3 linked regions of the Rattus norvegicus genome follow. The protein of the gene in region 2 interacts with the protein of the main gene of each other region in a pairwise test. Links are inferred from orthologs where the notes say so. Each region holds a gene or a part of one and is shown on either strand. Other genes may lie near its edges.

Region 1 (3,749 bases), on a different chromosome or scaffold from region 2:
CCTTCCTGCACCAAAGACACTCGTATATGTGGGTGAAGGCTCTCTGAAGGAAGAAGTTCAGCTTCTCCATGTCTAGTGAGTTATGTAGGTGTTGTCTTCAGGATTGGGGTCTTGCCATCAGTTGGTGGAGAGCAGCCTAAGGTCTTGGCAACAGTTTGAGTGGGTTTGGGGTGGGGGTGAGGGTGGGTTCCATGAGACTCCATTGACCAACAACTCAATTAGATGTCGACCAATCCTGACACTGGAAGCTTCATTTGGTGACAAGAGATGTCCAGTTGGAGAGTCTGTCTCCCCCATTATTTGGACATTTCATTTAGATTGCCTTCATATATGTTTATTTTAGGAAGCTCTACCATATTAGGTTTTCATGCCCCCCCCCTTAATTTTAGCTGTCTGTCCCTGCTTTTCTCTTCCCTTTCCCATTGGATCCTTCTGTTCTAGCCGCCCCTCAATCCAGCATAACTATCTATTATTCTATTTACCTTTCCTAGGGAGATCTATCTTTCCTCCCTGGTCTGTACTTAAGCTCTGTACTTAAGCTCTGAGGTTCTATATATTGCAGCTTGGTTATCATTGACCTAACAGCTAATATCCACATATAAACTTATACATACCAGATTTGTCTTTCTGGGTCCTCACTCAGAGTGATTTTTTTCCCCCTAGCTTTATCCATTTACCTGTGAATTTCTTCTTCTTCTTCTTCTTCTTCTTCTTCTTCTTCTTCTTCTTCTTCTTCTTCTTCTTCTTCTTCTTCTTCTTCTTCTTTTTTTTAATGGTTGAGTAACACCTTATGGTGTAAAACGCACCACATTTTCTTTATCCAATCTTCTGTTGTGACACATCTAGGTTTCCGATTTCTGATTAGGAAGCATCAATGGACAACATGGTTGGGCAAGTGTCTATCTTGAGGTAGATTCCCATCCTCCTGAGGAACTTCCGAGCTGATTTCCATAGTGACTGTACAAGTTTGCGAACCCACCAGTAATGGATGAATGGAGACTTCATTTTCTGCCTTGGACTTTAGAGGCTTGGGTGGAAAGGCTGCTCTAAAAGGAGCTTACTTAGCACACAGTCCCAGCAAGCCTCACATCACCTTCCCCAGAATCAGTCATTTTCCCTATTGCCGTGGTCCTCCCATGGCGCTACCGAGCGGCTGGAGTTAGTCCGACACCGGAGCTGGTTACTCTAGCCGGTGACTTGGTGGCGGGCAGAGGCTGCTTGGCTTCCTGGCGCCGCCATGTTGGAAGTACAGAGCTCTAACCATGGCTGCGAGCGTCAGGCTCCGACTACCAGCCCCGCCAGCTCGGCAGGGCACGCGGTGGAAGTGCGGCCCGGGCTGTATCTGGGTGGGGCGGCGGCAGTGGCTGGACCGGACTACCTGAGGGAGGCGGGCATCACCGCCGTGCTGACGGTGGACTCGGAACCGGCTTTCCCGGCCGGGGCTGGTTTCGAAGGTCTCCAGAGCCTCTTCGTGCCCGCGCTGGACAAACCCGAGACCGACCTGCTCAGTCACTTGGATCGGTGCGTGGCTTTCATCGGCCAGGCTCGCTCCGAAGGCCGTGCGGTGTTGGTGCACTGGTGAGTGCCCCAGGCTGGGGGGCGGTGCCTTACCCCGTGTCTAGCCTCTCTGCTGAGGCGCCCAGAAGTGGAGGGCGGTGCTGTCATAGCCCAAACCCTCTTTCCTCATCTTCCCTTGGGGTTTGTGGCTCAAGGGAGAGTTCGTAAACCCGCCCTTGGTTAAGGTTTTGTTTGATTTCATTTTCCAGCAACCATTGTCTGTGCATCCATCCTTCCATCCGTCCATCGGTCTATCTGCCTATCTGTGTTTTTGGAGTTTGGGGTTCACCAGATTAGTTCATTAATCACTAACCATTACAATTATTTCATCAAGTTTAGCAGCTTTGTAAGAGAAGTCAGAATCATTCTGGTGAATGGAGTACAGGGGTGAAAGTACGTGATACTTTTCTTCCTCGTCCTAAAGCTCACTAAACAAGAGAAAAACATGGGGCTTTTTGTTTTTTGAGGCAAGGTCTAACTGTACAGATCTGGCAGGCCCGGAACTCGCTATATCGAGCAGGTTGGCTTCAAAAAGCACAGATATCCTCCTGCCTCTGCGTCCACAGTGCTGCACACCTTTAGTGAGCCACCATGCTCGGGCAGTTTTAATCAAAGATTTACGTGACTCGCAGGTTTAGAGAAGCATGCACGGACCAAAGGAAAACCGTTCGTTCACATTCTGGGACTAATTAAGACTGGACAGTCGTATAGAAAAGGGATTGGACAAGAGGAGTGTGACATAATGCTATGGAAATGAGCCAGGAAACTCAGCCTGTCCTGAATTGATCGTCCTCGGGTGTATAGGCAAAGCCCTTTCTGGAATTGTGGTCTTAGGATGTATCGGACTAAATCGATCGGAGAATTAATTTGTCCTGCTTATAGCACGTTAGGCAAACATGCTGCTACTATGATGACACAGCCCCGATCTTAAGAAAATGCCTTTGGGGCAGGTTCTTGGAAAGGTGGAGGAAAGTTAGAGTGATGTTTCTCTCCATATTTTTGTTGTTTTGTTTTTGGGATGGAAGTTTTGCTGTGCGGTCTAGACAGTCCTTGAACTTGGGACCCTCCCGCATCCACCCCCAGTGCTGGTATTCTTTTTTTGTTTTTTGTTTTTTGTTTTTGGAGCTGGGGACCGAACCCAGGGCCTTGCGCTTCCTAGGCAAGCGCTCTACCACTGAGCTAAATCCCCAACCCCAGTGCTGGTATTCTATGCATGTGCTACTTACTGCTTTGACTTTAATTCTGGTTTTTGTGCTTAGAGTTGAAGAAGAGTGCTTCTAGCCTCTCCTTCAAGGTTCGTCAGAACATCAAGTGTCCAACACAGTCGAGTATGAGAGTCAGAGGTGCAGGGCTTCGCCCCAAGAAGCCCAGGTACCTGAAGTTGGGTCTGGGGTACAGACCTGAGTGAGGATCACTACAACCCTGTGTTCGACTATTGATTGACGCCCTGTGTGGCCAACTGTGTTCATTGCCCCTGAGTCCCACCAGAGGGCGCACGATGGCCAAACTGCTGCCTGCACCCATCTCTTCCACAAGGTGGAAGGAGCCAATGCAAATAAAGTTATTAAGTACTGGTGTGGGGGAAAAAAAGAAGGAAAATCTTAGTAGGTGTTTGGGGATCCCAGGGTAGTCCTGTTGGGGTCCGTCTGAACTGCTTCGTTGGACACTTCCTGTGTACCAGTAGTTGTAAAGATTTACACAAGGACAGAAGGTAGTGATGAGAAGTATGGAATCAGATCTGGAACAACTTGAAGTCAAGAGCCGAGGCGCCATGGCAACAGTTAAAACATTGAAGGCAGGCATTGTAGAATAGTTAATGCATCCACACTGTTCGGAATTAAGAAGGAATAAGGAAATAATCGATTCATGTTGTGCGTTGACAGTATTTAAGGGGCAGTGGGTTAATTTGAATGGAAATAGGAATGAGCTGGGTACAGGGCGCCGCACCTGGAATTCCAGCACCGAGGAGGCTGAGGCGGGAGATCGTCCTGACTCAGAAAGGAGTGAGGTGGACCGAAACGTTACCACTAACAGTCGCTGGGCTTTGTCTTTTAGTTTATTTGTTGGTTGATTGATTGAGACAGGGTTTCTCTGCGTAGCCCTGGCCATCCTGGACTCAACTCTGTAAACCAGGCTGGCCTTGAACTCACAGAGATCTGCCTGCCTCCGCCTCCCGAGTGCTGGGATTAGAG
Region 2 (3,749 bases):
AATTGTACACATGGAGGGAGCCTTAGCTCCAGCCACATATGTAGCAGAGGATGGCCTTATCTGACATCAATGAGAGGAGAGGCCCTTGGTCCTGTGAAGGCTCAATGCCCCCGTGTAGGGGAAGGCCAGGTCAGGAAGATGGGGTGGGGGTTGGGGGGGACACTCATAGAGGCAGAAGGGAGGAAGGGATGGGGGGTTCCAGAGGGGAAATCGGGAAATGAGATAACATTTGAAATGTAAGTAAAGAAAATATTCAATAAGAAATTAAAAAAAAATTGCATGTTTTCACAGGGTCCTCATGAACAGAAGGTAGAGATATGTTGGAGACGGTCATAAAAACAGTGTTTAGACAAAAAATGTGCATATCTTTAAAGTTGGAGTGATGTGTCAAAAAGCCATTACATTAGAGCCTTCAGACAAAATTTGCCAATACTGTGATTTTTGGCCCAAGGAAAAAAGGTTTCAGATTTCTGGACTCTGAAGGGTGAGAGTATACAGTTGGTTGCTTTAAAACACCAAATTAGTAATGATTTTAATAGGAGCCTTAGAAATTAAAAGACTTTGATAACAGGCTTACCAAAACCCCTTGGTGCTAGAATTGAGAAATCCTCTTTAGAAATTCTGATTAGAATTTCTGCTTAATTAATACATGCATTTATGTATTAAATGTATGTGTGTATGTAACATATGTACACACATACCTACGTACGTATAAACATAATACACATATATGGCATATATATCACTAATTTGTGTTTTTGAGAATCTAGAAATGTAGCCCAGGCTAGACTTAAACTTGAAGTGTCTTTCCTCAGTTTCTGAGTGTAAAGATTGTAGGGATATGTCACCATGCTCAGTTCTTCTTGTCTTGGCAGTTATGTTCACAGGTATTGAAATGTACTTTAGAGGTAAAGCAAACCAATTAAAATACTGGCTTGCAGACCTTTGTTTAGGGCATATACTTTAATGTTTATTTTAAAAGCTGACATTCTAGTCATGTAGTTTCATGCCTTGAAGTGATTTTTTTGCTTGAAGTAATTTTGGATTTCCTCTAAGCATAATGGAGGGTTTTTTGTTTTTGTTTTTTTTTCCCTATAAACTGTAGGTCTTTGTATTTACCACTAGAGGGTTCACTTCCAAAGCTAATTGTGATTTGATCATAGTACTTTCTAACAATTTGGTAGTAGAAGGAACCATTAAGAAAACACACTGCTTATCTGAAGCTTACAGCTTAATTATTGATTTCTTATGAAACAAGAACACTTCAGAAAATATTCAGTTTTAATAATATGAAGGTATTCTTATTGAAAAAAAGATATTGACCTAAAGATGTTGAATCACAAATACCAATTTCAGTCTGAAAGCACATGACCACACAGTAAGTCCCCAGACAGGTTTCTAATCTTGAGATTTTTGGTTTATTATATTAAATAACAAGATAGAAAGTATTTTATGTAATCTTATCTTTACTTATCTAGTTTGTTTTTAACTTTTGTTAAGGAAAGCATTCTTTTCTTGTTATATATATATTTTTATATGGTAAATAAGAGGGTATATTTTTGGAACAACATCTATAGTATAGATTGTTACTGTGTATGGTTGTTAGTAGAGAATAAAGAATATTTACTAAATCACATAGGGATTATTTCAAAAGCCTTAAATTGAGAAAAATGTATACATGAAGGTACTTATAAAAAATTACTACCAGTATTATATACAGCATGCTTATGTTTATGCTATATATAGTATAACATAAACAGCAGATACTCACTGTTTGAACTTTAAAGGCTGCTGCTGCTTGATTTTAATACAGAATACAAATCCTAGTAAGAATATTTGTTGTCATCAATGTCTTCTCTTTCCTGAAGCAAGTTAGATTATTATGCTTTCTTTAATACAAGCAGACTTTTTGGGTTGTGTTTTGTTTTTTAAAACAGGATTTGTCTGTGTAGCCCTGGCTTTCCTGGAACTTACCCTAGACATGGCTGGCCTCAAACTCAGTTCCACTTGCTTGTGACTCCTGAGTGCAGAGATGGAGGCATGTGCCACAACATCTGGCAGAAGAGTTTTTATTAAATACGTTTGTATCCCCGTGTAGGCATGAGAAATCTAGTAAAAAAGTATGAGCCACCCAGATCTGAAGAAGTTGCTATTCTGAAACAGAAGTTGGAGCGATGTCATTCTTCTGACCTTGCACTTAATATGGTTACGTAAGTAGGCATGACACAGAAGTTATGTTCATAAAGCCATTGAGTTCAATTATGTCACTGGTACAAAGTTTGTTAATGTTAGCATCTAAATCAAACTTTTAAAAAAAAGTTGAGTACACTGATTTTTGTCTGTTTGGAGTTGAGCTATCTAGTGCCTGTTCTTCAGTAAAAATGTATTTTGTTTTTGAAGATAGGGTCTCACTCCTGTTAACTCATGCTAGTCTGAAGTGAAGGTAATCCTGTTACCTCAGTCTGAGTGCTGTCTTTGTAGCTGTAGGCTACCACATTGGGTTATAATTAATTTTGTTGCAAGTATCAGTTTTGCTAATCAATAACTGCTTATTTATAGAAAGAAGAGGAAAGGCTACGAAGACGATGACTATGTATCAAAGAAACCCAAACAGGAAGAGGTGTGTTTTCCCCTAGATAAACTTATCATTTTTGTTTTCTGGCATGAACTAAGTTAACATGTACTGTTCTGAACGATTATAAGCATTATAGACAGATGGGGCTGAGAATGTTTGAAACAGTGTCTGCTTTGTAGCTCTAGTTGGTCATGAACTCCCAGTTCTTAAGAGAAGTAAGTAAGCCTCAGCCCTCTGAATACTAGGACTACAAGTACGTCTGAAATTTGAAATAATTTTTTACTTACCTGTTTATGCACAATCTGAATTTTAAAGATATCGTTAAGGGGAAGATTTATTTTGGGTAACAGTTCAGGGGGATAAGAATCCATGGCAGGAGAAGGCATGAAGAGGGCTTCCTACAAGGTGGTAGGAGCAAGAGGCAGCTGCTTGTTACATGGTGCTCACAGGGAGCCTCTACATGGTCTATTTTTACATGACAGTGAACCACTTCTAAAGTAAGCTACTTGATTGAAGTAACTTCCTATGATAGAAGGTGTGGTTTGCCAAATTTTATCTGTTCTATAAGAATCCTTCCCTTGCCTTACCCCAGTTTTAAAAACTGTCTCTTAAGAAGTCAAAGATAAACAAGCACAGGCAAAAGGATAGCCTTCGTATACTTCTTCACAGAGCGGGCAGCGGCCTCCATGTCATTGTCACAGTGAAGTGCAGGCAGGACTTAGCACATACCTGTACTTCAGCACTTGAGATACAGCAACACCACAGGTGGCTGCAGCCATAGTAGAAAACCATCTCAGAGACAAACAGATCTATAATAGACTGTTGTCAATCCACATTTTCTTAAAGGGAAGAAAAGAACAAATGGCTCTATTGTTCTTCAGTGTTACCCTCACCACATGTTTTTTCCCTTTAGGAGGAGTGGACGGACGATGACCTGGTAGATGCTCTCTAACCAGTGTAAATGACTGCAGCAGTACTTACTGACCGACGGAAGTAGGAAGCATGTCTGACATTTTACTTTTGTCAAAATAGTGCAATGTGAAAACATCAAAATATATTAAACTTTTCTAATTCTTATATATATTTCCTCTGTGATTGTTTTATACTGCCACCTAGTTAGAATATTCATGACCCACTAGGGTTAGTAGCAAACCACACCTTCCTGTGGTGGCCA
Region 3 (3,600 bases), on a different chromosome or scaffold from region 2:
GCCATGTCCTCTGCAAGAGCCATTAGTGCTCTTAAACTGAGACATCTTTCTACCGCCGTTCTTCCTCCTCCTCCTATTTATTTTATTATATGAGTACACTGTTGCTGTCTTCAGACACACAAGAAGAGGGCATCAGATCTCTTTACAGATGGTTGTGAGCCACCATGTGGTTGCTGGGAATTGAACTCAGGACCTCTGGAAGAGCAGTCAGTGCTCTTAACCACTGAACCATCTCTCCAGCCCTTCTTCTTCATTTAATTACTTGTTGTTCTTGTAAAGAACCCAGGATTATGAGGAGCACTGGTAATTTACTTGTAACCCACTCAAACACGATTATAAGCCATTTCACTAGCAGGCCCTATAGTCATCGGAGAGGAGGAAACTTTGATTGAGAAAATGCCTCCTTAAGACTCAGTGGATCCTCCTGTAGAGCATTTTCTAATCAGTGATCAATGTGGGAGGGCAAAGCCCATTTTAGGTAGGGTCATTCTTGGGTTCTGTAACAAAGCAGGCTGAGCGAGCTATGAGGAACAAGCCAGTAAGCAGCACCCCTCCATGGCCTCTGCATCAGCTCCCGCCAGGTTCCTGCCCTGCTTGAGTTCCAGGCCTCACTGCTTTTGATGAACATGTTACATGGAACTGTGAGTGAAATAAACCTTTTCCTCCCCAAATTATTTTTGGTCATGGTGTTACCTCGGCAATAGCCATAACTAAGACAGCAGGCTTTACATCAGTTCTAGGCATTGGTAGAAGGTGTACAGACGACATCCAGCATGCAGACAGGGTGTTGAAATAAGCAGAAAACGACCACAGTCCCCTGTGTAGCCAGCCTGATCCAAAAAGACCTAAAGAGTTTCTGCGCCCTCGCAGAGAACTTTTTTTTTTTCTTTTTTTTTTTTTCGGAGCTAGGGACCGAACCCAGAGCCTTGCGCTTCCTAGGCAAGCGCTCTACCACTGAGCTAAATCCCCAACCCCCGCAGAGAACTTTTTATTGCAGTGACTTTTGGGCAGATGTCATTCATGGTCCCGCCTGCCTCCTGCTCCACCTGTGTGGAAAGACAACCCCGAGGGAATCGGGTATCTATCTCAACAGACCAAAGGTCCACTCCATCTGCAACAAGTAGAAATAGAGACTCTGAAAAGCCACACCCAAGTACTGAAGTGTTACCAGGGAGACGGCGGTACCCATGGATAATTCTGGCTAATAGCCGAGCGTGTAGGTCAGGGTCAAACGTGCAGCCGACACGCCCCTCTTTGAGTAAAGCGCCAGGAAGACCATGTAAACGTCACTTCCGCCTTCAGTTTGCTACATGAGGGAGGCGGAGCCGCAGTGGGGGCGCGCCTTATTTGCATCATTTCCGGTGAGCCCAGCAGTGACCACGGCAACATGGCCTTGAACGGTGCAGGTGAGCGCTCGGGTTGTTTGGGCACTAGCCGTGGGATGTGGGAGGCGGTTCCCTCCATTTCCTTGGATCTGTCTCCCCTAGATGTCGATGATTTCACCTGGGAGCCTCCGACTGAAGCTGAGACGAAGGTGCTGCAGGCGCGACGGGAGCGGCAGGATCGCATCTCTCGTCTCATGGGCGACTACCTGCTCCGTGGTTACCGCATGCTAGGCGACACGTGCGCGGACTGCGGGGTGAGGCGAGTGATGAGGCTGAGGCTGCGGACTAGGCCGCAAGACCTTTTCTCAGCGCTCTCTTCTGTGGACCCTGTCTCTCAGGCTCACCTGTGTCCATGTACTTTCTGGTTCCCAGACGATCCTCCTCCAAGATAAACAGCGGAAAATCTACTGCGTGGCTTGTCAGGAGCTCGACTCAGACGTGGATAAAGATAACCCGGGTGAGGGGCCGAACGTGCACTATGGGGAGAGGAACGTGGTGATAGTTCCCCAGGAACAGTGAGCCTGGGAGGTGACAGTGGAAATTTCTGCGTGAAGGGGCATTAAGGTGCCTTCTCATTTCAGTCCTAGAGAGGAGATTCATTCAAGAAAAACAATCAGCCTTTTGTTTCTGACACCGTGGCAAGAATCCGAGCCAAATTAGCCATCCCCACGTGTAGAATGGATGTGCAACACGGGTACTTGTGCATGTCGTGGTGCAAGCACTTTACTACCGAAGTACAGATCCCAGTTTAAAGGCACAGACTTAATGCATAAATGAGGCTAAGGCAACTGTGGAGTAGCTGGTTCTCGAGTGTAAAACAGTGGGGCAGTGTTTGGCAATCATGTGTGAGGAGAAAGAAGAGTAGAGACTAGATGGATTGGCCTACACAAAAAAACACCAGACACACAGGGGGATCAGTACAGAGCAAAGGGCTCAGGGGAGCGATGGATCTGGCATCCTGACTATTCCACTTATTTTCTTGTTTTAGCTCTGAATGCACAGGCAGCCCTCTCTCAAGCTCGGGAACACCAGCTGGCCTCTACTACAGAGCCTGCCTCCAGCTCTCGGCCCCCATCCCAGCCACCAGTACCCCGTCCAGAGCACTGTGAGGGAGCTGCAGCAGGGCTCAAGGCAGCCCAGGGGCCTCCTCTTCCTGCTGCACCTCCAAATGCAGACGTGGTGGCTTCCACACAGACAGCCCTCCTACAGAAGCTAACCTGGGCGTCAGTCGAGCTGGGCTCTAGCGCTTCCTTGGAGACTAGTATCCAACTTTGTGGGCTTATCAGGGCTTGTGCTGAGGCCCTGGGCAGCCTGAAGCAGCTGGAGCACTGAGGCCTCTACCCTCACCCCTGTTCCCCCTGAGAAAAACCCTCTAGAAAAACAGCTTTTCCTCCGTGTGGTCTGTTCCTTTCTTGCCTCTGAGTGTGCATGCAAGCCCAGCTCTGCTCGACGTTTTTTCTTATTTTTGGTATCTCACCTTTCCATGGTCTTTTTCTACCTGAATGGAGAGGTTCTACATTCAGGACAAGATGTAAATGATAGGGATAAATGACACCTTATTTTAAGGAGTGACCTCAGTCCCCTCAAAAGTTGGGTCACTATCATTGTCTCTGATCCTATACCCCCTTCATCCACCTTTTGGACCTGATTGCCATTTGAAGTTTAGTCCCCTTGGTGGTTTCCTTTCCTTCCTTTGACCATTCTGATTCCATCATCTTGCTCCAGCTTATGGCCATTGCCATCTTGACAAATTGTGGGGAGGGCAATGGTGCACTTTAAGAGCCAGGCACAGTCTTACTGCAGACTCCAGCCTCCTGCATCCCCATGCTTTTAGAATTGTTCCCTTGGGAGAAGAATAGTGTAGAACAAACATTGTGTAGGAATGAGGCAGCAAAAAGAGTCGGCCTCACTCCTTCTATCCAGTTCCTTGATGGGTTTTCCGGCTCCAGGGTCATCTCCGCGTTAAGTGTGGCTCCGCCCATGCAGAGGGGTGGAGCATAGGCGGAGTCGGAGGAGTCTGGGACGGAACAAAGCCCGGCCTGCGGGCGGCGGCTGGGCTCTCTCCGGAGGCCGGGCCACAGAGAGCGGGTCCTCTGGGCAGCAGTCCGCAGCAAACGTAGGAGGGGTGGAGGCGGCATCGCGGTCCGCGCGGTCTGGCTATGAACGGGCTGCCCTCAACTGAGGCGCCCGGTGGCGCGGGCTGCGCTCTGGCTGG

Evidence for each region.
Region 1: the proteins of Ccnh (region 2) and Dusp12 interact in binary tests that used the Homo sapiens proteins (3 or more experiments, as listed by UniProt). The two-hybrid records come from large-scale screens. The link is inferred for Rattus norvegicus from reciprocal best matches to the Homo sapiens genes CCNH and DUSP12.
Region 3: the proteins of Ccnh (region 2) and Znrd2 interact in binary tests that used the Homo sapiens proteins (3 or more experiments, as listed by UniProt). The two-hybrid records come from large-scale screens. The link is inferred for Rattus norvegicus from reciprocal best matches to the Homo sapiens genes CCNH and ZNRD2.

Annotation. Positions count from the first base shown.
Region 1 is NC_086031.1:85,661,478-85,665,226, reverse strand, and holds the start of Dusp12 (dual specificity protein phosphatase 12), read left to right. Parts: upstream 1-1,219; 5' UTR 1,220-1,237; coding exon 1,238-1,578; intron 1,579-3,749. UniProt on the Homo sapiens protein: Dual specificity phosphatase; can dephosphorylate both phosphotyrosine and phosphoserine or phosphothreonine residues. Can dephosphorylate glucokinase (in vitro).
Region 2 is NC_086020.1:17,587,423-17,591,171, forward strand, and holds the end of Ccnh (cyclin-H), read left to right. Parts: intron 1-291; coding exon of another isoform or gene 292-302; exon of another isoform or gene 303-2,092; intron 2,093-2,098; coding exon 2,099-2,210; intron 2,211-2,559; coding exon 2,560-2,620; intron 2,621-3,488; coding exon 3,489-3,527; 3' UTR 3,528-3,656; downstream 3,657-3,749. UniProt on the Homo sapiens protein: Regulates CDK7, the catalytic subunit of the CDK-activating kinase (CAK) enzymatic complex. CAK activates the cyclin-associated kinases CDK1, CDK2, CDK4 and CDK6 by threonine phosphorylation.
Region 3 is NC_086019.1:212,446,484-212,450,083, reverse strand, and holds Znrd2 (protein ZNRD2), read left to right. Parts: upstream 1-1,290; 5' UTR 1,291-1,387; coding exon 1,388-1,406; intron 1,407-1,487; coding exon 1,488-1,639; intron 1,640-1,757; coding exon 1,758-1,842; intron 1,843-1,966; coding exon of another isoform or gene 1,967-2,016; exon of another isoform or gene 2,017-2,373; coding exon 2,374-2,717; 3' UTR 2,718-3,074; downstream 3,075-3,600. Other genes in the region: Fam89b (leucine repeat adapter protein 25), read left to right, coding at 3,545-3,600. UniProt on the Homo sapiens protein: Might play a role in mitosis. Antigenic molecule. Could be a centromere-associated protein. May induce anti-centromere antibodies.